Linked DNA regions of Diceros bicornis minor. The protein of the gene in region 1 purifies or fractionates together with the protein of each later gene. This does not show direct contact. Links are inferred from orthologs where the notes say so. Each region holds a gene or a part of one and is shown on either strand. Other genes may lie near its edges. The genes, in order: SOS1, PTPN11, CRKL and FRS2.

What was found.
Region 2: the proteins of SOS1 (region 1) and PTPN11 purify together in Homo sapiens (affinity purification with western blotting; 4 studies listed by BioGRID and IntAct, with this or other methods). This does not show direct contact. The link is inferred for Diceros bicornis minor from reciprocal best matches to the Homo sapiens genes SOS1 and PTPN11.
Region 3: the proteins of SOS1 (region 1) and CRKL purify together in Homo sapiens (affinity purification with mass spectrometry; 3 studies listed by BioGRID and IntAct, with this or other methods). This does not show direct contact. The link is inferred for Diceros bicornis minor from reciprocal best matches to the Homo sapiens genes SOS1 and CRKL.
Region 4: the proteins of SOS1 (region 1) and FRS2 purify together in Homo sapiens (affinity purification with western blotting; 5 studies listed by BioGRID). This does not show direct contact. The link is inferred for Diceros bicornis minor from reciprocal best matches to the Homo sapiens genes SOS1 and FRS2.

What each region holds. Positions count from the first base shown.
Region 1 is NC_080751.1:45,264,653-45,271,961, reverse strand, and holds the start of SOS1 (son of sevenless homolog 1), read right to left. Parts: upstream 3,019-7,309; 5' UTR 2,952-3,018; coding exon 2,865-2,951; intron 1-2,864.
Region 2 is NC_080774.1:10,559,242-10,566,160, reverse strand, and holds the start of PTPN11 (tyrosine-protein phosphatase non-receptor type 11), read right to left. Parts: upstream 3,007-6,919; 5' UTR 2,861-3,006; coding exon 2,847-2,860; intron 1-2,846. UniProt on the Homo sapiens protein: Acts downstream of various receptor and cytoplasmic protein tyrosine kinases to participate in the signal transduction from the cell surface to the nucleus. Positively regulates MAPK signal transduction pathway. Dephosphorylates GAB1, ARHGAP35 and EGFR.
Region 3 is NC_080774.1:30,944,092-30,951,523, reverse strand, and holds the start of CRKL (crk-like protein), read right to left. Parts: upstream 3,023-7,432; 5' UTR 2,513-3,022; coding exon 2,202-2,512; intron 1-2,201. UniProt on the Homo sapiens protein: May mediate the transduction of intracellular signals.
Region 4 is NC_080756.1:1,868,333-1,875,598, forward strand, and holds the start of FRS2 (fibroblast growth factor receptor substrate 2), read right to left. Parts: upstream 3,001-7,266; 5' UTR 2,921-3,000; intron 2,654-2,920; exon of another isoform or gene 2,261-2,653; intron 1-2,260. UniProt on the Homo sapiens protein: Adapter protein that links activated FGR and NGF receptors to downstream signaling pathways.

The DNA.
Region 1 (7,309 bases):
TCATCCTATGCCCTCAAAAGACATCAACGGTTCTGAACAAGAGTGTGACGTGTTCAGAAGTGTACTATAACTTCTGAAATTTGAAAAATTGATAAAGGAGAGGTGAGGGGCAGTGAACTCAGTTAAGAGGTTATCACAGCAGTCTGGGAAAGGGGACTCAGAGCAGTTGGAGTAGGAGGGAATAGATTAGAAGAACATGTCAAAGTGGAATAAATCTACAGGCTGTGCCTGGATGTGGGCCGTAATGCAAAAGAGAGAAGTCCAAGACGACTCCAAAGTTTTGAACCAGTCAAATAAAATAAAGCCATTAATCAAGAGGGGAAATTTTTAAACAGAAGATGGAGGGCAGGGAGGTGATGGTTTTAGTTGGGTATTCCCTCACCCATTCGTTCAAACTTAAGTGCCTACTAGGTGTCAGGCACTGTATCAACGGAGGGTAAAATATCATCCCTGTTCTCAAGGACCATTCAATCTAGTTGGGGAGGGGGGAGGACAAGTAAATAGGAACTTAAAAATCATTGTTAAGTACTAGGTTAGGGTGCTAAAAGAAAATTTAAAAAGATTATCCAACTCGGCCCCAAGGATTTGAGGAAAGATCTGAGGACGAGCGAGTCTAGAAGGGTGAGAAGTGTTAGACCAGGCTAAGGGCAATCCAGGTGAAGAGAAGAGCATGTCCAAAGAGCCTCAGGTAAGATAACACAAGTTGGGCACATCTGCAAATACTGCAGCAAGCCCAAAAGAAGAGTTCAAGATAGTAGATATCCACATGAAATGTCTAGCAGGCAGGTAAAAATGCAGGTTTTGAGCTACCAAGAGCACATCCAGATATGAAATATATTTTCAACCTTGTCTTAGGTGGCTTAGAATTATCATTAGTGGATATTTTAAATAAGAATTTGGAGAACCTTACATATCAGCTAGATTCCACCTCCTCTCATCACTTTTACTGTTATACAAGGGTATCTCTGCTTAAAGTCAAAGCTGGGTTATGTAAATAAGCAGAGGACTGGTGGGGACTGTGTAAATTGAAGAGATGTGCCATGTCTAAAGAGGACAGTCATTTCCTCAGCTCCAGCAGTTTACTGCCTTGCTTGAATGCAGGCCCAATGTGGAGAGATCCTCCTATTCTTCAAGAAAAGCTGAAAATTCAGATTTTATGTAATATCTCCCATTTTTAAATATCGGCAACTAATTACATTAAAAATAAAACAACACCATGCCAGCCAAACAAAATGCTTCTGTGGATAGATTTCAGCAAGGGCCATCTTGAGTCTTGCTGCATTTATCAGTCTACGTGTGGCAGAGTTACATCTGGTCTGCCAACTCCTACAACGCTCTTTCCACTACTTCATAGGACCCTCAACTGATGGGTACGTTGGTGTTTACTCTGGGATAGGATATGCTTGCTTCTAAACAAAATAGCCCCAAACTGGTAGTGTTTTATGAGTTCTTTTGTATGTTTTCAACAATTTTTCTGTCTCCTCCCCACCGCGGCCCCACCTAGGTCAGGATACCTGCTTCCAGCATCACTGAGACCTCCTACTACCCTTCTATTACAAGCTAAGATGTCAAGTTTGCAGGTAAAGCAAAACTAAATAGCGTGAAAGCCTGACGGGATTACTAATGAATAAAGTATATACAGTATATGGCATCTCTTTGATTTTCCTAGAAAACAATATCACAGAGACGTTTGTGACTAGTCAGACACCTGAGGAAAAAAGTCAGTAACTTATATCTGAAATATATGACCAGTTTCTGCTAACAAACCAAATATTTTCCTCTGTAAAATACCAAGAGGGAGACAGGGAGGACAGGACAAAATGGAAAGTAAAAGTTGCTGGCCTTTGAGAAATATCAGACACCATTTAAGACACAGTTTTCAAAAGTATAAATGTTTAGAACAAAAGGTACACCATAATCTCAACTCTCAGCAGAATATATTTTAACCAGATAACATGAAACATTGTTTGAGGAACAAAAAATTGGGATGTAGAAACACTATTAAAAGAGTAAAGCAATCCTATATTTATAGAAAAGGTAAAAGGGAAACAAAAAATACTCTGGTTGTTTTTATGTTCATTCAAACACACAAGTTTCTGAATTAACTCACAATGTTGCTTTAGAAGCTTTTAAAATGTAGCAACATTTCCTAATTATACTAAAACATTTAAAAATACAGATCACAAGGTATTTAACTTGAGGTAACAATGTGGCAAACTTGAAGGAACACAGCCAGGTTGAAAATTCTAATCAACAAAACGAATGACAGCACCAAGATTCTCAGACTCTCACAAAAAGAAAAGAAAGAAAATAGCGGCATGTGCACCCACCCCGGTTAATCGGAGGAGCGAGGGAATTCAGAGGAATGAAGAGTGATTACCGAGGGCGAGCAGAGCAGGCCATGTTCCTGCTGGCAGGCGAGCTCTGCAATTACTTAGAGCAAGCATTATGGCCAGAGCATTCTCGAGCCCACTAAAACGAGCAGACTGGACACCTAAAACGGAGGCTGACAGCAGCTCCGGGTAAGACCGAGAAGGCGGAAAAGTGGCCTGCTTTGACCTCCACTGAAAACTGAGGCTCCTCCAACTCTCGTCTCTGAAGCAGGAGCAGGACTCTCAGGGGTTGATTATCCGGACAAACTCTCCCCGGCCTCCTGCGGCCTTCCCCCACACCGGGTGAACGTCAACCCCGGGAGGCAGCGCGTGCGGGGGAACCGCTCAGTGGGCGCCGTCCTTTCGCGGAGGCGGCGAGACCGAGAAGAAAGACGGCCCCGCGCGCGCCCCGCCTCCCCAGCCCTGCCCCGGCCCGGCCCGGCGCCCTCGCAGGGGCTGCAGCGGGGAAGCGGGCTCCCGCGCGCTCCTCACCTTTTTCAGCGCCGGCACCAGCAGCCCCCGCCACTTGGGCGCGTTCTCCTCGCTGAAAAACTCGTACGGCAGCTGCTGCGCCTGCATGGTGCCCCCGGGGCGCCTCTGGGCGGGGAGAGGGGCGGCGGCGGCCGGGCCGGGGAGCCGCGAGAGGGCGAGCTCGCAGCGCGGAACAGGGCCGCGGCCCCACTGGACGGCCCGGCCCCCTCGGGGCGCCGCGCGGCCGGGCTAGCCCTGGAGAGGGGGCTGCGGGGCGAGGCCCGCGCCCGGCCAGCCACCCGACACGGGCACCAGCCGCGGAGAGCGAACGCAGCCCGGAGGCGGCGGCGGCGGCATCCCGCACCACCGCCCCGGGGCCGGGCCCCCCCAACCCTCCCCGGCCCTCCGGCGCCGCCCCGGGCTGCCCTCCGCCGCGGCCGCCGCCCGCCCGGCTGCCGGGGTTGCGCGCTCGGGCCCGGCCTGGCCCCGCGGCGGAGCCCGCGGCTGGGGAAGAGCTTGTGGAGAGACGCTCCGGCCGCGGCGCACGCTCCGCGCCGCGGGAACCCCGATGAGCGAGCGACCCCGGGCGCGGCGGGGCGGAGCTGGGGCCGGGGTCTGGCGGGGGAGAGGACGGGCCCGAGGTCGGTGCTGGGGAATCTGCCTGCCCCAAGGTGCCGCCGCCGACGCCGGTGTAGCGCTCGAGCTTCCTACTAGCGAACTGAACCTGCTCGCTACTGAGCATGCGCCGCCGGGCAGGGCCGGTTCGCTCCGGGTTTTCCGGCTCCCCGGCGAAGGAGGAGGGAAGCGCGAGTGAGGGAGGACGCCCCGCCGGGCCGTGGCTGCGCCCCCCGGGGCTGCAGGGGAGGAGCGAAAGGGCCCGGATAAGTCGAACCCTGCCTGAGTGGGGCCTGCGAGATGGGGGGGCGTGGGGGGGGCGGGGTGAGAGCTACGGGGAAGCGGCCCCCATTGTGTGGTTGGGCCGCGAGAGATCCCACCCCTCTCTTGGAGTGCCTAGACCTTTCGTTTCGGAAAGGGGTGTGTATTTGTGTACTTTGTTCCTGAACATGAAGATAAGGACTGCCCAGAGCATGCAATGTATAGTAAACAGACTGGACAAAAGATAGGTGCCTTTCTCACGAAACCTACTGCTCAGTATTTGTCGGATAATGGAAGTGATTGCAATGTTTCCAATCTGTCTTTCCACATCACCAAGAATAAAATGTGTACGTGTAGTATTGATTTTGTGTGTTTTTTAGATTCAATATGTTCATCTTTCAAACCCACTTCAAATATGAACTCCAATAACCACCTACTTCCAGTGGAAATTGAGATCTCTTGCAGTTCCCAGATCACTTTACTCATGCCCCTCTCAGAGCATTTGGTTTATTATGTTTTGTACCTCTCCTGGCTCTTTCAACTAGATAAACTGCTGGAAGGCAGATATTTTTCACTAGGGGTTCTACACAGAATAGGCACTTAGTGAATGTTTGTGGAATGCCAAAGGAGCATTATCTAAACTCTTCCTCCATCCCAGGGATGCAGGTGTTTATAAGAGTGGTCATGTGTGGCCGGCTCCTCATGGTTTACCATTAAGCACTTTTTGAACATAATCTCATTTAATCCTCATAGCAATCCTATTGTTTTCATTTCACAGATGAGAAGACAGTTTAGAGGATGAGCCTGGATTGAAGTTGACATAGTACCCTGCTATTCCAGAGAATGATAACCAGGATCACATACCCGGCGGGCCCCCTGGCTTAGCGGTTAAGTGCGCCACCGGCAGCGCCAGAGTCGGATCCCCCGCGTGCACCCAGGCACCACTTCTCCCGCCATGCTGAGGCCGTGTCCCACACACAGCAACTAGAAGGATGTGCAACTATGACATACAACTATCTACTGGGGCTTTGGGGAGGGAGGGAAGGAGCAGGATTGGCAATAGATGTTAGCTCAGAGCAGGTCTTCCTCAGCAAAAAGAGGAGGATTAGCACAGATGTTAGCTCAGGGCTGATCTTCCTCAAAAAAAAAAACAAAAAAAACAGGATCACATAGAGGAGAAATGTTTAAGCAGTGGTAATCTCTACAAGACCTCTTGGAGAATCTCATAAGTCTTAGGTCCTTTTCTTTAAAAATGTACACACATGATTTACATTTAAAAATTCTCCATGCTTTCAAAGTGTTCAGAATGACATTTTGAAAATTATCCATTTTTTTTCTTACCTCTGGGTAAGAAGAGGTAGAGGAACTACAGCTTTGAGAGGAGTTGGGGACAGAAAAATGGGTCTCACGAAAACATGTCAGACATCTCTAAATATCTAAAAGACTGTAACATAGAAAAACCATATATGATATGGTTTGTGTGGTTCTAAACCAATGAACTAAGATCAAGCTTCCGCCCCAAATCCTTCTTGGGCTTCCCATTCTTCTTAGAATACCTTTCAAACTACTCACCATGGCCCACAAGCCTGCATCTGGCTCCTGTTTACATTCTCAACCTTTTCTCACCATTCTCAATCCTGGCTCACCACACTGCAGTCACACTGGCCTTCTGTCTATTCCTAGAAAACACCAACATCTTTCCTGCCTCGAGGGCTTTGATCTTCCCCCAGCCCGGAACTCTCTCTGCTCCTAACTGTTCACTTGGCTGGTTACAAACGTCACCACCTCCAACAGGCCACACTGATCACACCAAGTAGTTCCCACCTATGTATTTCTACCATAAGCCTCCGCTTATTTCCTTGCTCGCATAAATCACGGCCTCTAACTATTTTTAGTTGTTGGTTGCCCCCCAGTAGAATGGAAAACTCCAAGAGATCAACAATCTTATTCCTTCAAAAATATTTATCAAGCGCCTACTGTGTGCCAAGTAGTGTAGGTCCTAGGGATATGATGATGAACTAAAGTGGACACATAAAAGTTGGATGGAGGAAACTTCCAGGAAGACTACCTAATCGGAGTTGTCTCGGGAAACGGGCGATCTTCGGAGGTGTGCAAGTAAAAACCGTACATTCACTCACTCGGGATGTCGGGAAGGGTTAAGAGGTTGGACGTGATGACCTCCAAGGTCCCCTTCAACTTCGAGTCTCTGATGTGACTGCAGAGGTAAACAAGCCCTAGAAACATGGATTACACGCTGGGCTGGGCGCGCTTAGCAGCCGGGGCAGGTTCTCACTAGTATGGACTTTTTGGCCGCAGACTGAGAGCAAGCAGCTGGAGGGAAATTGCAGAGAAGAGACTCGGCGCTTCTGAGCTGAGCAACCAAAGGGGAGTGGTGCTGACCTCGGCGCCGCTAAGGTCAGGGAGCAGTCGAGCTCCTCTGCATCGTTTGCCTATATCTCTTGGGACAAATGAAAACACCTACAAGCGTGCAGCGAGAGAAGACAACTGTGGCGGACTCAGATACGTTCTACGGAAGCCAGGAAAGCTCCCTGGGCCCCTCAGCGTTAACCGCCGACTATTGCCCCGCGGCGCAGGCGCAGAGGTTCTGTTCGCGCCCCTACTCAGCTCTAAGGAGCCTGGAGCCAGAGCGGACGTGACGCACGGGGGGCGCGTCCAGGCGGACTAGCCGAGGCCCGAGATGAGCACGTCCAGGCGGGCTAGCCGAGTTCCGAGCGCGTAGCGTCAGAACCCGGGCAGCAGGGAAGGGGGCGGGGAGGGCGTTCGGTCCGTTGGCGCGCCCCCTGCAGGTGGGAGCGCAGCACTCCGCTCTTTTCCCCACGCCGCCGCCCCCAGCAGTCACAGGGTTGCCTCCTTCGCTGCCGCCACAATCATCTCCCTGAAGCAAACTTCAGATCCGGTTACTCTCCTGTTCAAGAGCCTCCACTGCCATCCCAAGATGAAGTCCAAAGTCCTTTGCTTGGTATTCATGGCCTTACACAATAGGGCCACTACTTATCTTCCCAGATATCTCTCTCACTGGAAATGAACTACTATTGCCTCCCATAAACCCATCATTTCTATTCGTCTTTGTTGCCTACATATGCTGTTCCGTCTGCCGGGAATGCCAATAACCGTTTTTGTCCAATCCCACCCGCCACAGCTGCACCTCACCGCCCATGTACACGCTCACCGTGGAACTCGCATCCACGCTGTCGCCCCCAGCTCAAATGTCACCTTCTCTCTGAAGACTTTCTCAGGCCCCATTCAGGATGCCTCCCCTTAAACAGGCATAAGAAACAGCAGTTTCAGCCATTAGCAAAGTCAAGGTCCTCTCTCTTCCAGCAGCTTATCTTCCCTTCATGCTTCTCCTCACCCTTTCTTCCCAATCCCTACTTGCAATTCCACTTCTCGAAACAGGATGTCCCCAGAAAATACACCAGAGAAAATAGTGGCTGATAAAACCACTGGATACGCACCCTTTAGCACCTTTAGTTAATACTTTGGTTCCCTCCCTCCCTCTCCCTCTTTTTTAAAATATTTTTTAATTTAATTTTTGAGGTAACACTGGTTTATAACATTATATAAATTTC
Region 2 (6,919 bases), on another chromosome or scaffold:
AAAAGCCTCTTTTCTTCAAAAGAGATGGTTAAAAAAGTGAAAACACAAGCCACAGACTAAGAGAAAATATTTGCAATTCTGATAAAGGTCTTGTATCCACAAGAAAGAACTCTCAAATCTCAATAACAAGAAAACAAACAACTACATTAAAAAGGAGGAAAATATTTGATCAAATAGACATGTCACCAAAGAAGATATACAGATGGCAAATAAACACATGAAAAAATGATCAACATTATTAGTCACCAGAGAAAATACAAATTAAAACTATAATGAGATACCATGACATATGCAGTAAAATAGCTAAAATTTAAAAACTGACCATACCAAGTGTTGACAAAGATGTAGAGAAACTGTAACTCTCATATGCTGCTGGTGGGAATGCAAATGGTATAACCACTTTGGAAAACAGTTTGGCAATTTCTGAAAAAGTTAAATATACATCTAATATATGATCCAGCCATACCACTGATAGGTGTTTACCGAAAAGAAAAGAAAGTGTTTGTCCATACAAATATTTGTACACAAATGTTCAGAGCAGCTTTATTTGTAATAGCCAAACTCTAGAAACAATCCAAATGTCCATGAACAGGTGGATGGATAAACTGCGGTACATCCATACAATGGAATATTACTAAGCGATAAAAAGTAATGAACTATTTGACACACACTACAACATGAATGAATCTCAACATAATTACGCTGAGCATAAGAAGCCAGACACAAAATTCCATTTATATAAAATTCTAAGAAATGCAAACTAACATACAGTGACAGAAAGCAGAACAGTGGCTGCCTGACAACAAGGCAGGGATTATAAAGGCCCAAGGACACATCACAAGCCGTGATGGATATGTTCATTATCTTGATTGTGGTGACAGTTTCATGAGTGTATACATATGTCAAAACTTATCAAATTACACACCTAAACATATGCAACTTATGGCATGTCATTTATACCTCAATAAAGCTGGTTAAAAAAATAATAACACAGACCTACGATCTGAAAAATAATAATAAATAATTCCCAATTATGTGTGTTATGTGCATAATCTGACTTTTCAGGTAGCACACATTTCTCTTCTGTAATAGGTGAGTAAGAAACACCAGGGCTGGAGAGGAGGAAGAATTACTCTATTTCAAACTGTCATCTTTACCACTTGCTGCCTTGGCTATACCCACACTTCCCGGCCTATACACTAACAAGCTGGACAATGCAGGGTCTCTTACCACCCAGTCCCTTCCCTACCCAGCCCCCAGCCTTTCTGTCTCCTAAAGAAGCAGATCCTTACTTGTCTGGAAGAGCAGACACAAGGAACAAAAGGCTCAATGACTATTTGACAGATTAAAGAATAGACAACTGTTTTATTTAAAAACTCCCTAAAGAATTAGAACATTTGAGGCTATACACTGTTCTGCTGAAATGCAGTTATATATTACCCAGATCTGTAAGCACTTGCCAACAGACCTGTCCAAGTCACTCACGTCCTAAGAGTTTTCAGTTTTCTTTTTTCTCCCTCTTTTCATTCCAGTTTCACGAATGAATAACGTGCAGGTATATCCTGAGAAGACATACCTAACATTTTGAAAAGTCTCTCATTCAAATAACCCCAATAGCTTGAAATAGTTTTTCAAATGTCTAATATAGTGACCGTCACAGGACAATTAAGGAAAAGATTAAACAATGGGTCTTATGTGTGAATCTTATATAAAGAGTAGGACACAAAACAGCAGGATCATTATCGGAAAACAATACGTCACGCTACCGTTGAACAACAAAATTAAGGCCTACAAATGATTAGCAATAGTTATAAAAGAATAATAGCAATATGGTGATTAACAGCGGGGATTCTGGCCCCACCACTTATTGGCTGAGTGATCTTAGGCAAGTTGCCTAACTTCTGAAACTCAGTTTATGCATCTTTAGAACGGAGACGTTAGTACCTACCTCAAACGGTTATTGTGAGGATTAAATGTGTTTGGCTTACTGTGAGAGCTAAATCAGTGTTGGCTATTAGTGGTATTATTACCCTGCACTTGCAAAAGATCTCATTAATTCGCTAATCCTCCTTATGACTCAGAGTCAAGTCCTGTCATTTACTAGCATGTTATTGCTGAGCCTCAGTTTCCACATCCGTAAATCGGGGGTGATTAATGTTACCTGACTTTTAAGGTTGTGGTGAAGGATTCAATAACCAGAGATACAGCTCCCTTCCCTCCCATCTCTCAAAGCGAACAGTGCAGAGGAAGGAAATACTTCTAATAGCTGCAGATACAGTCAGTTTTTCCATTTCTGGCACGTGAGGGGTGGGGGGAAGGAGATGCAAAGAGGCACATAAAGGGGCCAGGGATGCTGAGCGAAGCCCCCAAAAGCGCGCGACCAGCAGAGCGACGCCGAGCAGCCCGACCGCCGGGGCCGGGCCCCGCGCCACTCCCTCCTCTTCCCTCCCGCGTCCCGGGCCGAGGAGCCTCCCCAAGCGAGTGGGGTTATTTCGGAATCACCATGAGGCAATTCTCATGAGGCAATGGGTCAGGAATGCGGCGCCGAGCCGGGCCGCTGGCGCCCGCCGTTCCCGCGGCGGCTCTACCTGGCCCCGTCCTGCCGGGCATCCCCCGGGCTGCGGGAGCCGGAACTCGGGGAGGCAGGAAATGAATGGGAACCCGAGGGGTGGGGGCGCGGCGGGCGCAGGCCCCCGGCCCCGGGAGGGCGCGGACGTCGGGAGGGGCCCGCCCGCTGACCCCAGGCGCGGGCCGAAGCCCGGCCGGGGCGCCCCCTCCCGGGCGGGGCTGACCGCAGGCGGCGGGGGCCGGGCCGAGGCCGCGCCGGGCCCCTCGGGGCTCCTCACCTCCGCGATGTCATGTTCCTCCCGCCCTCCGGCTCCGCGACGGACCCGCTCCTTGCTCAGGCTCCGCTGGGCCCGGTCACATCGGGCTGGCCCGAGGGAGGCCCGCTCGGGACCGGACGGGGGGCAGAGCCAGCCGGCCGCGCGCAGACCCCCCTCCAGGCCTGGGGATCCCGGAGACTGTGCAGCCGCCCCCCGAGTCCCGTTCGCTCCTCCTCCTCCCCCGCCCCTCGCCGCCGGCGCCACTCTGACGTCACCCCGTGCGACGCCCGCCGCCACTTCCTGCTTCCAGTCCGCCGGGGACTGAGCGGCGGCTGGTGATGGCAGTCCGGTGGCTCGGTGGGGCCGCCGCCGCGCAGTTCCCAAAGCACCTCGACGTCCTCCTTTAGACCTTGGCCGCAGGGCGTGCGCCGCGCGCTCAGTGCTGTACGCGCTCCCGGGAACCCATGCCTCCGCTTCCGCCGTGTCAGTTTCCATCCCCGACTGCCAAACCGAATTTCATTCATTTCATTCCACACATCGCCGCTCTGCTTCCTGGCTGTGTAACCTTGGGAAAGTTGCCTAATTTCTCTGAGCCTCAGTTTCATCCATTCCTTCATTTCTGTAAAATAAAGATAGTAATTGTATTTTCTTCGTAGGATTGTGGGAATTAAATATGTAAAATTCTTAGAACTAGGCCTGGCCTGTTTAGTAAGTGCTTTGTAATTGTTCGCTGTCTTTTCATTACAATTAAACATCTGTTGATTGTTTGCTATCTGCTAAGCACTGTTTTAGATTATGGGGATATGAACAGAAAAGACAAAAATCCCGTGCCTGTGTTCTCGAGGGAGGAGCTACAGTAATCAAGATAAGTAAAATACTCAAGATAATACTCGTACCCTCCTTTCTTGTCTTTTCTCCATAGCCCTTTATATTATCGTTTTCATTAGGGTAGTTAGGGAAGGCTTCACTGAGGATGACGTTTGAGTAAAGAACTGACGCTGGAGCAATCTATGGGAATAACTCGAGGGAATAGCATTTCAAGCACAGGGAGAGAGAAGTGCAAAGGCCCTGAGGCAGGAGGCTGCCTCCTGTACTATTTGAAGAACAATGAAGGGATCTCTAGCTAAAGCACAGTAGAAAGTGGGAGGGGTGAAGGGAGAGTAGCAGGAGATGAGGTGAGAAAGGGGTAGAGATAGTATAGAGTCCTATAGGCTATTTAAATGAACAGTAAAATGGAAAGCCATTGAAAGATTTTCAGCAGAGGAGGACTATAATCTATGTTTTAAAATTATTATTTTAGATATTCTCTAAGGAATCAGATCAAGAGGGCAAGGCTGGAAACAGACCAGTTTGGAATACTAGAATTCTGTAATATTCCAGGCTGGAGATGATGGTGGCTCCACCCAGAATGAGAAGGTAGAGTTTTTACTTGATGAAGGCCCATGTGACTCATTAAAGGTCACAGATCTAGTAAGTGGCAGAGTCAGAATTGGAACCTACATCTATGTGGCTCCAAAACCCTCATTTTTTCCTCCCAGTGCTCTCCAGCTCACTTCTGATAAATAAATGGCAAGCAATAGGACATATTGGAGTATATGAGGAAGCCATTTGGTGTAAAACTAATTTGGCCTGACCTTGTTTTTCCAAAAAGGCCTGATGTGGCTTTTGAACATGCATTGTATATCTGCTTTAAGCATTTACCACGTCCCGAAGACAAGAACAAATGCCCTTAAGATAAGGATGTAACTTCCCCCACATTGGTATTTCCTTAAGGATAAGCTTTTCTCCCTAGGCTAGGATTTGATTGCTGTCCTCATCTTGTGACCACCCAACTTGAGACAACAGACCTGGTACCTGCTGTGCCCATCAAGACAGCAGACCTGATGCCTGCTGTGTCCATCAATCGCTGTGCCAACAGGACAATCTTGTGATTATTGTAAAGGGACATCGCAATCATATGTGATACATGCTCTTTGACCGTGTATAACTGCTCCGTACACCCCACTTCTTTGGTGCCCTTCCTTCCTTGGGGAAGGAAGGCCCCGGGCTATGTGGTCCTCAAATCTGGCTCATAATAAACTCACCCCAATTTTGATTTATAGATTGATTATGGATTATTTGCATTGACACTTCTATATGAAGAACTCACATGCAGTGTGCTAACTGCTTTAGCCTTGTTACAAAAAAATCCTTACAAAAATTGTCTTTAATATATGCCAATTTAATTTAGGTAATAGGCATTCAACGAACAGTTGCCCAGGCTGTTTCCTTCCATTCCTCCTAAATCCCGGCCACCTAGATGACTCAAAGAAAATCCTAAAGGATTTTAGCCTGCACGCTTGCCCTCTCCAATCCATTCTCCACATAATAGCCAGGGTAATCTAAAATGCGGAACTAGTCACTCCCTACATTGCATATACTTCAATGGCTTCTCATTGCTTTTAGGATGAAGTCAAAAAACTTTTTAACAACCACCTGATCTGGTTCCTGCTCACTTCACCAACCCCACTCTCCCCACCGCTATGACCCAGTCATGCTGAATGACTTTCAGTTGTTCTCAATATGCCATGCCCTTTCCCAGCTCAGGGTCTTTAAACAATCTGCTCCCCCTCCCTAGAGAGTACTATGTGACCCCCCCCTCCCCATGAACTCTAGTCTACGCAGATCTCAAACTAGAAGTCATCTCCTCTGGGATAGGAAGACTTACCTGATTCTCCCAGTCTAGGTTAAGATGGTCCCCAAGACACCTATCCTGGCTTAGAAGTGAACACACTTCATTATAAATCTAAGACACAGTATCATGTGGGGGATAAGTTCTTGATCTCCAAAACTCAGCCTGCCTGCCTGGTTGTCCCCAGGTAAGTGACTTGACTCCTCTGTGTCTCAATTTCCTTCTCCGTGAAATGGAGGGGTGAAAATACTACCTACAACATAGGGTAAGTTGTGAAGAATAAAAGGGTTAATGATTGTGAAGTATTTAGAACAATGCCTGGCAAAGTAAGCACTTGGTAAATGCTGGTTATCATTTGTCTCTTTTCCAAAGTAAGCTGTAAGCTCTTTGAATACAGAAACTGAAGCCACGTACCTGATGGTTACTGTAGCTATTCAATAAGAACATGATTGCCTTTTGACCTTGTTCCCAACACAGACATAGATGATTTTTGTCAATTTGCTCTTTTCTTGTTTAACTTGAGGAGTGACTGATTTGTGAGTTTGTTTTGCAGAAGAAAGAGAATGCCTTCAGGGAGGTTGCAATCTCCAGACAGCCGGCCCCCAGCAGCCATTGCAGATTGTCTTGGGGCTTATCTGGAGTGACCTGTTTGTTTCTCCAAAGCTCCTCCTGGCAAGCCCATTAGCTCTATAAAAACTCCCCTCTTTTTGCTCTGATTAAGGCAGATTTGAGCAAACCGGTGCTCCCACCTTCTCATCTTGGCCAACTCAAATGGGGCCTTTCTCCATCTCCAAGCCCGATATCTCAGTCAGTGTTTGTCTTGCTGTGCATCAGGCATATGAATTTGAGATTAAGAGGTTCAGTATCAAAACCATTGCTTCCCCTGTCTTTCCTATAGTCTATACACTCTGCAGCTAGAATGATCTTTCTAGAATACAAATCTAATCATGTCCTTCTCCTGTTCTATGAGGGAGGTTCAAAGCCTTTAGCACTAAATGAAAATCCTTCCATTAGCACATCTGGCCCTTCTAAATACGAACCATGTCTACCTGTTCAGCTTCATTTATCCCCACTTCCTCACATAATCTGGCAGTTTCCAAAGGCCTCTAGCTGTTTCTTGCATCCCTGTATTCCAAAATTTAGTTCCTTCTGTCTGGAATGCACTTTAAACCCATCTCCAAATGGAAAAGTAAGTGTCAAGCAAGATATAGCTCCAACTCAATCAACTTGTGCAGTAAACATTCTCTGCACACACCCCTTGACCACTTCCTGAGAATAAAATAGAGCCCTCCTCTCTATGCTTTGCGGGCTGCCTGTTCATGCCTCTATTGGTCGGCAACACGGTTCAACATCATTGTTGATTGACTGTTCTGCCTCTTCCCTTAGATTATGAGCTCCTTTTAAAACAAAGTCACTGTCTTCT
Region 3 (7,432 bases), on another chromosome or scaffold:
GATCCTGTTTGGGGTGTGAAGAAGCATTATATTGATTTTTGCATTTGGCCAAGGCTTTACTAGCCTCTAGTTTTCTACAAAGGCTAAAAACATTTCAAACCAAATCCATGAATCTCAGGCTTTCCTGAAATTCAAATCCATGAACTCCAAATCCATTAATTCAGATGCAACCCAAAGACGCAGTATAACAAAGCAAATCAAGTCAGGATCTAATTCAACCAGCATTGTGATCACCCTCCAAGATATCAGGGAAAATTAAAAAGTAAATTACAGCCACAGGCCTCAGGCGTAAGGCACAGAGAAGGAGAAACAATTACAGCTGAATGTGAGGGGGAGGGTCAGAGAAAGGTCCTATTATTTGTGAGGGGCCTGGAACAACAGGTAGGATTTCACTGGTCAGGAGTGGAGTGGAGTTAACGCTGTCAATGAAGAGCCAACAGCCTGAGCAAAGGTACAAAGCTGTGAGGAGGTGTGTAGGGATGGCTACCAGGGACTGAGTGAGTGGCCTTCGTGAGGCTGCAGTAAAGGAAGGATGAGAGGGAGCGAGGACACGCATCAAAGACAGAAAGTTCCGCCTGCTACCTGGGAAGACCAGTGTATGGAAAATTTGGATTCGTTCTTGTGGGTACTGGGAAGCCAGTGCAGCATCTCCCTTTTTCTCCTTCTAGAAGGGGATCAAGCCATTTACTCATACTTGTTGAGACAGCTGTATTACAGTACCTGTCACCTCAAAGAAAGCACAATACCCTGCACATAACATGGCTTAATAAATGCCTGAAATTAATGACATCATTCACCACCGCAAGTTAGTAAAGTAATTTACTTAAACACATTAAAAATCTCATTACAGTGGGTTCTAAGATTCTCCCCAACCCCTTATATTGGAATTATATTGTGCTCAAAGTTGACTCCAATTACCAGCATCTTTGGGGACCTGGAGGTTTCACCAATCAGATTCCTGGGGTCTACATCTTTGTTATACAGTATTTGATTTATAATCACTTTCTCCCATTTTTTAAAGTCCATTTAGTTCAGTAGTTAATCTAGTACAGTCATTATAATACCATGGTTTTGTTTCCTCTCTATATCTATTCCACAGAAGCAACACTTAGGCATCCAGTGGACGCTCCATAATTAATTATGATAGCTTTCAATGTTTAAAGTTCAGAGATATCTTGTCAGCAAAATCTATAAAGTCAGAAACATCTCATTCTGAAACATCTTTATTAGCATCCTCTCCATTTAAATAGATGCTTAAGAAACAAATTAGGCAAAGAAATACTTTTTATTTTTAAAATTCTAGGCAATTTCTTCAGCTCAAATTTGGCACAATTTAAATAAAAGAAACCTCTGACAGAATACTGATTAAGACAAATTAAAGCAAATAATCAAATAAAAAATGCATTTTACTTACAAAAGAGAATAGAATTAAGATAACTGTCATTCAAAAATTTCCCTTAGTAAGTAACATCTTAGCCTTATTCCTCCTTGGAATTTAACCAAATTAATTTCTAGCCTATTAATGGTCCATCTTGGCAGGAAACTATAAAATAAAAATTCAAAAAAATGTTCCCGCTGAAGCCAATGCACCTTCTTTTAAAATTTTGTAATTAATACATTATAAAACAGGTGTCTGGCTTATTTCAAACTTGGCATCAAGATATCAATATATAGTTGAAATTTCAGTTAAAGGTTTCTGTTTTTAAACGCTAAAGCATTTTCATTTGTCGACTATTTCAAAGGCTGCAGTCCAAGGGTTCTTGATCTGCAGTAACCTGGAGTGCACACATCTGCAGGGAGTCCAAGAACCTTGAATGCTGTGCACACTTGTGCGTACGTGCATTTTTGGAGGAGAGGGATGCCACGGCTATCTTCAGATTCTCAAAGTCTATAGCCCAAAAACACCACCACCACCACCCTGCTTTATTATGATAACCAAATAAAGAACGCGACGAAAAACAAAAAGCGTACATTTTAACTATGCAATCGCCGTTAAGCACGTTTAAAACGCATCCCCTCACCCAGTGACCCAGATCCTGACAGTAGCCTTCCGTTCGGAATGCCTTCTGGAAAATAATTTGGTTCAGAATGGGGACAAATAGGTTCAGTCACACCCCCCGCCCCCTCTTCGATCGACCCCAAGCGAACCAACCCGGCCCTTCTCGACCCTCCTCCGCGGTCGGGGTGGGCTGCGCGCCTACCTGGGCGCGGGCTCGATGAGGGTGGTGGTGTCCAGGTAATGGATCTTGTAGAACTCCAGCAGGGCGGGCAAGTGGTCAAACTCCTGGTCCCCGATCTTAAAACGGCGGTTGGGCAGCGAGTTGATGATGTAGTGGGAGACCCGCGAGTTCTCGGACACGGACAGCACATAGTCCCCGGGGCAGGTGGAGGAGTCGCGGACCAGGAACACGCCGTGGCGCTGACCTTGGAGCCGGGTCTGTGCCTCTTGGCGCGACACCGGCCCCATGTACCAGGCGGAGCGGTCTGAGGAGTCGAACCTGGCGGAGGACATGGTGTCGGAACGGGGCCCTGCGGCGGGTCGGGGCGCGGCTGCTCTCGCCTGCTCTGGTCGCCTCTGCCCGACAGACGGCTTTGGGGCCGAAGAAGGGCCTCGACACACCTCGAGGCGCGCTTACAAGGCCGAGCCAGCACCTTCCTCTCGGCTCCGGGCCCGCAGCATCCCCCGCCGCCGCCGCCCGCCTGCTCCGGGGTCGCCTCAAGGAGGGAGCCGGCTCGGGGAATGCGGGGCAGAGCCCGGGGTCGGGGCGGGCGAAGCCGAGCCGCAGCGGAGGCCGCCCCGGGGTCTCGGGCTGCCCAGCGTACCAGGGGTGCGCTCCAGTCACTTCTGGCCTGGAACGCGCCGGCCTCGCGCCCCTACGGCTCTGCACCGACCTCCGCCGCCACTCCAAGCACTAAACTCCAGGGAGCGTCGCGCCTCCGGGGCGGTTTTGCCCAGCCCGTTCCCAACAGCCACAGCAACAAAATGGCGGACGCGGGAGAAGCACCCGGCCACCTCCCCCTCTGCTCAGCACGCTCCGTCTGCGCACGCGCAGCCCCCGGCTCCCAGCTGCCGCCGGGGCCCTCCCCGTGACGTCAAGCAGCGCAGCCAATCAGGAGCGCGGTGGTGACCGTCCGGGCGTGCGCGGCTCTCGCCCGCTCCCGCGTTCCGGGAGGAGGCGGAGGCGGAGGTCGCGGAGGCGGGCACTCCCTTCCTGGACGGCGGTGTGCCGCCGGGGGCGCTGCAGCTGCCGGGTCTCTTTGAGCTGGCAGGAAAACAGCTGGACTCGAGAGGGAGCGGCTTTTCGAAAACCTGCTCTGGGAACAAAGCGTAACGTGCAGGCCTAATCTGCGGCCTGGGAGGCGTGGCACTGAGGTGACCTGGCCGGCCGAGGGGCCCAAGGGGACCCGCGCTAACGGAGACCGACGGGAGGACAGGCCCCGATGGGCCGAGGTGGCTCAGGAAGGAGACCGCGGGGGCTTAGGTGACCGGCAGATGGGCCCGAGGTGGCCTGGTAGGCTAAGGGACCCAGAGTGGCCAGGTGACCCGACAGGCACAAGTATAGGGTGTGAAGGTTGTATTGGCAGGATTAAGTGGTTTAGGAAGTCTACAGCCTGGGGTAATCTAGCCATCACTGGCGCTGAATTACTGCAAATAAAATGCAAACGCCTCTGGGGCGTGGCTTGAAGGCCTCGCCTGCTCCGGATTCTGCCTGCTGCTCCGAGTTAACCTCCCTCCATTCCCCCTTGTTTACCCCGCTCCAGCAGTGCCCTCTAGCCTGTCTACCAGCCCACCCCTGTCCTCCCCACTGGAATGTAAATTTTAAGAGAGCGGGAATCTTGTCTATCTTGTTCACCTCTGGGCCTAGCAAAATGTCTGGCCCTGACTTGATGCTCAAATATTTGTTGAATGAATGACTACTGAAGAAAACCTCAGGCAACTGGTGCTGGATTATTGGTAGCACCACCCCCGAAACTGGACAGACAAGAAAGTAACTGCACAGACAAGAAAGTATGTCCAAAAAGGGAGATGCAGGCAGTACAAACCCACGCTTAGATCCCTCTGTCAGTGGAATTGCATTCTGGCCGTTTGCACCCTCCCTCCTCCCCAGATTGAACATATCCTAGATTGTAGGGTGATAGGTGATGTCCATCTTTGGGTAAACTAAAGGGGAAATGTCAAGGTCTACTGCCTTTTGTGATTCAGCATTACAGGTTTTCATCTTCTCTCCAAATACTTTCATGTTGTATTAGTCTCAGGTTTGATTAGCACAGAATTTGAAAATGATGGCTTGGGTTCCACTCCTGGCTTAATCAGTTGACTAGCTGAGTGGCCTTGGGCCAGTTACTTAATCATCCATCCATGCCTCATATATTATTAAACAAGCTAATAAATGTAAAGTACTTAGAATAGTGCCTGGCACATATTAAGCATCATATAAGAGTTTTTTATTATTGTTATTTAGCCTCTTTCTTGGCTTCTACCTCCATTGCCTACAAACACGGAGATCTTAAAATGAGTGGATGAGGGTGGGGAGAATAATTCCCATTTGATTTGCTAGCTACTTTTCACTGCCAGATTTTACCACTTCATCATCACCCACTCCTTGCCCAGCCTTCTTCATTTGGTTTCTACCCTTACTTTGCCTGAAACTTGCCTTTGGAGATCATCACTGATCTCCATTGATCCCATCATTTTCCTTGATCTACCTGGCTCTACGCGTTTATGTTGAAAATCTCTTTCCAGAAAGACTACTTTTGTTTTTGTTTTTTCTTCTTTTAAGCTCCTGGGACACTAACGTAATTTCTTCTACCTCTCCAAATACACTTTCTCAGTCTCTTTCTGTGGCTCTTTTGTCCAGCCTCAAAGTGTAGAAACTCAGTCCTCAACCTCTCTCTTTTGGTAGCTTCTCCTTTGGTAGGCCAATCTTCATGAAGGCTTTAGGGGTCATCCCTTTGTTGGTGACTTCAAAACACATATATTCTAAAAGTAGAACAAAAACTGACCACACCCTATGCAAACACCTAAATTAATTTTTATCACATGCTATTGTAATTCTTTATGTGTCTCTCCTTTCCTAATCTGAGCATCTTGGAGGCAGACTGTAGTATTATTTTTTGTATTCCCAGTGCCTATCACATAATATACACCTAGTAAATGGTTTTTGAATGTAGGTGGATAACGATGGGAAGAAACCAGAGAAAACTAAAAATTTATTTTAGTGAAGGTAAGGAGACTATGTGATTTTTTTCCCCTTTTATTAACATAATAAATGTATTCAAAGTAGATATTTGGACCTAAGGTTTAGCCCCATATCACTCTCTGTTTAAATCTCCCATTTGGAGGGGCCAGCCTCGTGGCTTAATGGTTAAGTGCGAGTGCTCCGCTGCTGGCAGCCTGGGTTCGGATCCTGGGCTAGCACTAACACACCGCTTGTCTGGCCATGCTGAGGCCGCGTCCCAGCAACTAGAAGGATGTGCACCTATGACATACAACTATCTACTGGGGCTTCGGGGAGAAAAAGGGGAAAAAAAAAAAGGAGGAGGATTGGCACTAGATGTTAGCACAGGGCCAGTCTTCCTCACAAAAAAAGAGGAGGATTGGCACGGATATTAGCTCAGGGCTGATCTTCCTCACAAAAAAAAAAAAATCTTCCATTTGGATTAAATTTTGCCTTTCAGCTCCCCCTTTTCTGTCAGTAGCATCACTGTTTTCCTAATTGGCAGACTCAAATCTCAGTCATCTTTTACTTAACTGAAGAACTCCGTGATATGTGATTTATAAGTGCTTTTCAATTCACAGAACTTCACATAATACATTGTTTTGCTTAATCTAACCAAAGTCCCATGAAATACCCTGTAACAGAGGATCCAGAAGCTCAGAGAGGTTAAGTGACTTGCTTATATAAGTTATTGTAAGTTATATAATTTGCAAGAGGCAGAGCTGGCACTCTTAAGCCAGGTCTTTTGACTTGAAGTCAAGGTCTCATTTCACTGTTACACAACTGCCTATAATTTAGTCAATTTTCTTTGTTTTGCTGATAGTGAAAATGAGGCCCTCCAAAGTAAATTCTAGCACCAGAAAGGAATATCAATCTTGGAACAGGGAGAAGCGGTTGGATTTGTCCCCTAGCTTGGGTTTCAGATACCACCACCATTCTGCTGCCAAAGGGCCATGCTCCCCTCTTTAAAAATTCCTCTTAAAAATGAATCAAGGGGCCGGCCCCATGGCATAGTGGTTAAGTGCTTGCGCTCCGCTGCTGGCGGCCTGGGTTCGTATCCCTGGCACGCACCACTTGTCAGGCCATGCTGTGGCAGCGTCCCGTATAAAGTGGAAGAAGATCAGCATGGATGTTAGCTCAGAGCCGGTCTTCCTCAGCAAAAAGAGGAGGATTGGCATGGATGTTAGCTCAGGGCTGATCTTCCTCACAAAAAAAAAAAAAAAGAATCAAAATACCTCTCCTTTTGCTTCAAAATAGTCCAGTAGGGAATAGGGTATGGATTAGATAAAGATGAAACAAGAATGGCCTTGTGTTGATAATTGTTGAAGCTGGGTGACATGATGTGTATGTGTGTGGGGTTAATTATATTATATTATTCTACTTTTGTATATGTTTGGAATTTTTCACAATAAAATTTTTTTTAATTTTTTTTAAACGAGTCTCTATTTCTTTTTTATTTTTATTTTATTTTTTTGCTGAGGAAAATTGGCCCTGAGCTAACATCTGTGCCCATCTTCCTCTGTTTTGTATATGGGATGCCACCACAGCATGGCTTGATGAGTGCTGCATAGGTCTGTGCCCGGGATCTGAACCTGTGAACCCTGGGCTGCCAAAGCGGAGTATGGGAACTTAACCACTATGCCACTGGGCTGGCCCCTCACAATAAAAAGTTATTTTAAGTACTTTCATTTATTCTTCCTTAGCACAGCTGAGACAAGCTTTAAAAAAAATTCCAAAAAATGTTCTTAGATGTTAAGAGAGAACAAAATGGAAATGAATGGAGAAGCAACAAGGAAGCATTTAAAAAAGGGCTGTAACATAAAGATTTGTGATTCTGTCTTAGCTTGCTCATTCCCAGGGTTTCCAGATGGCATTATACTTACTCATCTTCTAAGATATTTACAAGCTAGACTCAAAGGACTGACAGGCTTTTTGAGCAACTTGTCCGGATTCCTTACTTCCTAGCCCTGAGGCTAGCTCTGTACAGAAAACACAACCGGGACCCACTGCTGACTTTTTGTTCTCCCCTGTCTAAGCAGGTCCAACCCTTCAGGTGATGGTTAAAGCCAGGCAATCGTTGTAGATTGCTGCCTTACTGAGGACACCAGAACAAGCGTCTGACCCTTCTTCCTGCCCCTGATAATTTTCTTTTTTCCCTCCTATTACTTTGCTACTCTAATACTAATAATGTTCGTATCCCCATTATAATTTTC
Region 4 (7,266 bases), on another chromosome or scaffold:
TCCACGATCCAGCCCCAACTTACCTTTCAAACCTCATCTCTTATTCCCCAAATGCACCTATAGTCTAGGTAATCTGGTCCACTAACTTTTCTCTGAGTACACAGTGAACTTTCCCACCTCCACACTGGTGCACACATCATTTCCTTTATTTGAAAAACCTTCATCCACCTACTCCCAACGCGCAAATTTTTGTCTTAGAAAAGTCTTACCCTCTGCAATGCTGAATGCAGGTTACCAGTTTATTGGGAGGTAGCATGATGTAGTGGAAATGCACAGACTTTGGTACCAGGCAGATCTGGATTCAAATTGGGGCTCAGTTACCGGCTAGCTACATAGTCCGGGCAAGCTACTTAACATATTTGAGCATCAGTGTCCTCATTATTAAGACGCTTATATGTTGTTGTGAAGCTTAGAAAATGTATGCAAAGCAACTAGCATAGAGCGTAGTGCTAGGTGCTCAATAAATAATAGCTTCAGAGCCACCTTCATATGGATTACTATACCTCCACCACTTTCCATGATCACTCCAGCTAAAAATAAACCCACTTTCCTTTCCTACAACTCCAAACTTTAGGTCAAACCTTCACATATTAAGTATTTACATATATTTATGTTGTAAATTTTTATGTAAACATCTTACATCCCCTTCTAGATTTCAAATTTCTAAAGACCAAAGACTTAATCTTTGTATCCCCTAATGCCTAACAGTGCTTTTCATGAAGCACACACCACCTTCCAATTAGAAAAAAATTTTAATATGCTTAAATACAATTCACCTCTTCATGATTTCTGACACAACTTAGAAAATTACTGCCAAAACATGCTATGGCTGTATCTTTATACGCTCCTACATGGTTGCCTAACGTAGCTTGATGCCGAAGAAAGCAAATGTCCAATATCTGTTGAATTGACATGAACATAATAAAATATACAATGCCCAAGCATATCCGATTTTCCCCAAGTACCTTTTCTGTTCTTACAATTCTTGAAATGTTTTCCTTCAAAACCACTGTTACACCATACTTTCAGTAATGGATCTATAACCATATCTAACTTGACTCCTTTTCCAGATTCTCTAAATTCCAATATTCCAACCTTATGCTCTAAACAATGAAGCACTTCAAACAGCTAAGAATCTAAATTTTCTTCCTAAATCTAAAAGTTGGGCAACTAATCTTCCTCCACAACTTTTTCCAGAGACTTTAAAAATCATCCACCCTTTGCCTGCTGAAGATCAACAACCCTGAAATAAATGTTCTTTTGCATAGGCAGCTCACTGAACTTGTCACTTCAGTCTATTTTCCCTAATTCACCGTATTACCTCCCCTTCCAGTGGTGGGAGGAGAGAGAATGAGATAAGTACTCAAAAAACTACAGTATGAATCCTAATATAAGCACCAGATGAGAAGTGCAGGAACATGTCACTGGTTTCACAACGGTGATTGTGTGTACTTTATACACGCGAAAACAATGGTCACCTGCCCAGAGTCACCACCTGCAGGGACTGCATTCCCTTAGGATCCTAAAAATCACTATTTGGACCGGCCCGGAGGGGTAGCAGTTAAGTGCTCGCGCTCCGCCATTGGCGGCCTGGGGTTCGGATCCCAAGCGCGCATGGACGCACCACTTGTCAAGCCATGCTGTGGCGGTGTCCCATATAAGAAAAAAAAAAGTGGAGGAAGATGGGCACGGATGTTAGCCCAGGACCAGTCTTCCTCAGCAAAAAAAGAGGAGGATTGGCATGGATGTTAGCTCAGGGCTGATCTTCCCCACAAAAAATCACTATTAAAAGCGGAAAACTCTCATTTCTACAAACCTTTCAGGAGCAGTTTATTACCTAAAATCTGTTCACTAAAAATAACTACACGCCACTTTTTCCACTAGGAAATGTTCAATTTACCCAAGGTAAACACTTCATAAGTTAAAACAACAACAACAACATAAAACAAAACACCTCTGCCCACCTATGTGAACCTCTGCATTGCAGCAACAGCTGTAACAGTACACGGGGCCTCTTAGGGGTTACCGAGAACAATGTTTCTTTAAAAGTTAAGGAAAATGACAGATCTAACTATGAAAGTATACAAACTTCAGGGCACAGAGAGTATAATTCTCCAACAATCTACAACCCATTCGTGCAACAACCGCAGATTGAACTCATCAAACCAGCATGACCTCAGAGAGCCACAGGAATTTGGAGATTAGCAGATTACAGAACAGCATCATTCTTTTAAATCTGCAAGAAAATAAGGGAACCTACCTGAACTACTGATTTTCCTCTAGCAAGTTGTTTTCTTAAGAAGCGACTTCAACAACAGCTTGAGCGAGCTTCCCAAGGAGTAAAGACAGCAGGAGGCACGCTGGTGCCACAGCGACCCACGTATCCAGAACCGGCCCCCAGCGCAGTCCAAACCGATCCCGGGCAACCCCGAAGCGAGTATGGACGAAGAGCCTGCCGAAGATCCCGGCCTCCTCCCCGCATCGCCCCGCCCCGGGCTGAGCGGCGACCCCGGGACCCCGGCTCAGCCCCGAGCCCCCGACAGCGCGCGGCGCGCGAAAGCCGGACCTGGGCCCGGGCAGAGTCCGCTGTTCCGGCGCCCAGCCCAGGGCAACCCAGACACCAGACCCCGGAGGCGGCGCGAGGACCCGGGCGCAGAAGAGGGGTCGGAGGGACGGAGGCCCAGCCACCCACCCCGAGTCCCACAGCCACAAGGCGCCCGGAGCCCCCTCCCCGGCCCGCCCCGCCCACCCGCGGCCCGCCGCCGGCTCCTCCCGCCCCGGGTCCGCGACGACCGCGGCGGCCCGCGCCCCTTCCTGCCCGAACCCGACAGCCGAGCCCGCAGCCCGGAGGGGCAGCGGGGCCCCAGGGCGCCCGCCCGACGCGGCCCCGGCCGGCGCAGTCGGCTCCCCGGCCACTCACCGTCGGCCCGGGCGCGGAGGGCGGGCGCGCGCGGGCCCCCGGGCTCCGACCCGGCAGGAACCCCGCTCGGAGCCGATCCAGCCTCCCCCGCTGTGCCCGCAAGGCCTCTCCGGCCCGAACCTTGGAAAAGCACTTCCGGGGGCGCGGGGCAGGGAGGGTTTGGCACCGGAACTGCTCGCGGGCTGGGGCTGACAGGGCCTCCCGGGGGCGGGGCCTCTCCGCGCGGCGCCCGCGGCCCAGCCCCCGACTGCTCGCCGACACCCCCGCGGCCCCGCCCCAGGCTGCCCGGAGGCCCCGCCCCCGACTGCTCGTTGACACTCCCGCGGCCCCGCCCCCGGCTACCCCGAGTCCCCGCCCCCGACTGCCCCGCGGCCCCGCCCCCGGCTGCTCGTCAAACCCCGCGGCCCCGCCCCAGGCTGCCCCGAGTCCCCCCGCCCCCGGCTGTCCCGCGGCCCCGCCCCCGGCTGCCCGTCAACCCCGAGGCCCCGCCCCCGGCCGCGGCGGCCCCGCCCCTGCCCCTGGGCCTGTCCCATCTACCCGGCCGCCTGATTTGACAGACGAGGAAACCCAGGCTCAGAGAATTGAGGTGCGGGGCCCTGCGCGTACCCCGGCCTCCTGACTCCAGTGTCCCTCCGCTCCAGTCCACCTGCTCTAAGAATCATGAGTTACATTTACTGAGCGCTTCCTACGGGTAGGCGCTGTATAAGGAACCGTCCCAAATCCTCTGACATTGGCCTGGTCTCTACATCTTGGGAGAAGGAAACCTGTCAAAGGTACCAAGCCCAATGCCACCACAAAGGTCGGCTCCCGATTTTATTTTAACTCGTGTCGTGTGTATAAATCTCATCTACCCCTAACAAGAGTCTTAAATTTTTGAAGGGCAGGAACCAAATTATACTCCTGTATGTATTCTATCATCACTTGGAATTTCAGCAGAGGCCAAGAGCTGGGGGCTCTGGAATTTTATTGTCTGGATCCTGTATTTACATTTACTTTTTCACCCTAGGCAAGTTGCTTGACCTCTAAGCCTCAGATTCCTCATTTGTAGTATATTTGATGAATGTGTGTGTGTGTACAGGTACATATATAATCATCTGTGTATCATTGTAGGAATTCAAAATGAAAATGCATGATGAGCCTCCAGTATACCTAGTACCAACGCAGCACTGGGTAAAAGTCACCAGTTCTCATACCTCATCAACAATAGGAAACTATTTCTCCTCCAGTGGAGTCACTCTAGCAGATGGTAAGGTGGGCCAGCAAGAGCAATAGAAAGGTTAGCTAAGGAAATAAGGAAAGAGTAGACATTTTTGCAATGGGAAAAAAGAATGTCGTAGGGCCAGCCTGGATACTTGTGACTCTGTGAGCTGAGACAGTATGAGGGCCCACAGAGTCTGACAGATCCCTGTCAGAGGCAGGGAAAGGAGGAGAAAAAAGAAAAAGGAATTTCTCAGCCACAAAACCAAGAAGGCACTGAACGACTGAGGCAGATTCTGTAACTGAGGCCAGCTACTGGGGGTGGGAGTTGCGGGGGTTGGGGGAGCCTCTTAGCACTCATACTATCTGCAAAACAAATTTACAAGCATCTCTTAAAACTGTAGGGGAGGAAGGTTTTTAAATTTTCTGCTAAGAAAGGCAGGGGAAATGGAAATAATTCAGAATGCTTTATTACGCTTTTAAGACGTAAACAATGCCTTTGCTATTGGCTTTATTTACAGCACTGTCTTGTTTATTTTTGTGATTACAGAAGTGTTTGTAAATACTTCCCTAATACCCCAATTTAAGCAGCCTTTCGTGCCTCAGAGTGTGAAGAGGTAAAAAACAGAGCCTGGGTCGGCAAGACTCACTAACTTCTCTTTCCACCACGGGCTCGGAGGGATAATGAGAGGAACCGTGAATGGCAGATGTTGTCAGGCTCCCTGCGGGACGCAGAAGTGCTAGAAGTTTGTCACTAAAACTGGTTATCTAACTGGTAGATGGTGCAGCCAGGATCTGAATGTGGGTCTGTCTCCTCGGATGCTTTTCACCGCTGTGCCCGTAGTTCTCAGACCTGAGAGTCAGCAGAATCACCTGGAGGTCTTGGTCAAACACAGATGGCTGGGCCCACCCCCAGAATTTCACTAAACCACTCTCGTGCTTCTCTGACATGTAGTCCCTGGACCAGCAGAGTTAACGTCATCTGTGAACTTGTCACAAATGCAAATTATTAGGCCCCACTGCACACCTGTGAATCAGAAACTCTGCTTTAACAGGCCTTCCGGGTGACTCAGTCATGCTCGTGTGAGAACCACTGCCTCTACTCTCGCCTCCCAGAGTCTTCTTTCTCTCGAATTATCCCCAACAGGAATCACTCTACTGAAGCAGAGTTCTTCCCATTGAACTAAATGACAGACTGAAGCATCTTTACTCATGTTTTGCTCTCAGTGGGAGATAAGGCTAGAAAAAACTTAGTATTAATGGAGGATTCTTTTTTGATTACTTTGTGTTGAAATTTAACAAGATAATTCTGGGTTGGGGGTGGAACTAATCTTATTTGGGAACCGCTCTGTGCCAGGACTTTCATGCATTTTCTACGTTAATCTTCATTACACTACTATGAGGTTTTATGGTCTTAATTTTACAGAAGAGAAAAACTGAGACTTAGGTGAAATAATTGATTTAAGGCCACATTCTTATTCAGGGGCAGAAATCAGGGTCAAACAAAGATCTTTCTAATTCCAAAACTCACAATCTCTCCACTTCGTGGCAGGAGCTGGAGAACCCAATTCCAGAGTGGGCCCTACCACCCCAACTGTGCAACACTGAGTCAGCGATTTAATCTCTGTTTCTGTTTCTCCGTCTATAAATAATGTTATTATAAATCTGCCCCTCCCACGCTGGAATGTTGGAACAAATGAGGAAATAAAAGTGTAAGTGCTTTGAGCTTTTTGAATTAAAATAGTAAAAAGGCAAGTTATTGTAGTATTTTATGTTCAGCCGAGTGTTGCTATGTGAGCCTGAGCATTGAATCTTTCCTGGTTATCTCCTGATTCATACAGAAGAGGTTCAAAGGCTATACTTGATGCCGGGAAAAAAAGTTGTTTGACTTCATTTGTCAGTGTCTTCTGTAGGTTAAAGAAGATGACAGAGGATTTTATGGGTTTCTTTTAAAAGTTACAGGGAATCTCTCACCGGGTTCATAGGCTCCAGGTTGTTGCCAAACTGCTGGCGCATCCTCATCCTAGAGATCTTTCCTCCAAACCCTTCCCTTCTCCCTATTACAGGCGCCCCTCCACCCTCCTGCCTCCACCCACTGGGCGAAGAGTTCAATTCCTCTGACTTTATTATGTAGAAGGATTTAGCTCTCAATCCTCCTCTCAGGCCTGACTCCAGGCCTATCTTTGTTAACAGAATCGCAGGTTGCACAGTTCCAGGGGGCAACGTTCACAAAGGATACAACCTGAATGGTGGTCCAGGAGGTGCCCATTGCACCGGCCACAACAGGAGAGGTCCGCCTGGAAGTGTGCAAGGCTGAGGCCCTGTCTATGCATAGCTCCCACCCCAAAAATCCCTTAAGGTGTTTTGTTAAACAAAAGAGCCATCTACTTGGGTGTCCACCATTTCCCAAGCTCTCCAATAATGGGGTTCTTTGTTTTTGTTTGTTTTAACGTGGCCCTGATCCAATACTTAAACCACCAGGCTTGGGTCCTGGGTCCCACACTCTGCCATGGCATTTTCCACTTTCTTCTGTGACATCATTGCCCACCTCCCCACTAGACTTGTGAGCTTCGTGAGGACTTTGTCATATTTCGTCTTCCTCACCTTTTACTCCTGCCTTGGCCCAGGTGCTTGAAAAGCATTTGCTGATTTGAAAACCAGCACAGTGTACTCCTCTTTCTGTGCTAGTGTAATTGGCAGAGATTTGACAAATGGCCCTCCAATGTGTTGTTTGACCCACAGAGGTTCGTACCAAGAAATAAACTGAGCCAAAATTTTAAAATTGGGAAATGTCATGTGAAAAAATCCCAATTTCTGGCACTTCTTGCAAAGTTAGACGCTGGCAGAGTGGGCGTGCCTCCCCCGGGCGTCAGCGTCTCGGCTGCGATGCAGCTTCTGCTTCAGGGGGAGCTGGCCTCACTCACGTGTGGACTCTCCATGGCAGCACCAAGCCTGGATCCCCTAGGGTAGGGGACCATGTGGGTGTTTTGGAGAAACAAGTATAGAATTTTGCCTTATAGATTTTACATGTGCTCATAACTATTTATTCCAATGTATTTCAAGCTAATTTTAAATCGTTTTTCTGGGGTAGAAAATTGTGAGATACCATGTATCATTTCTAAACAAGCCTCGCAAGTGCAGACATCAAA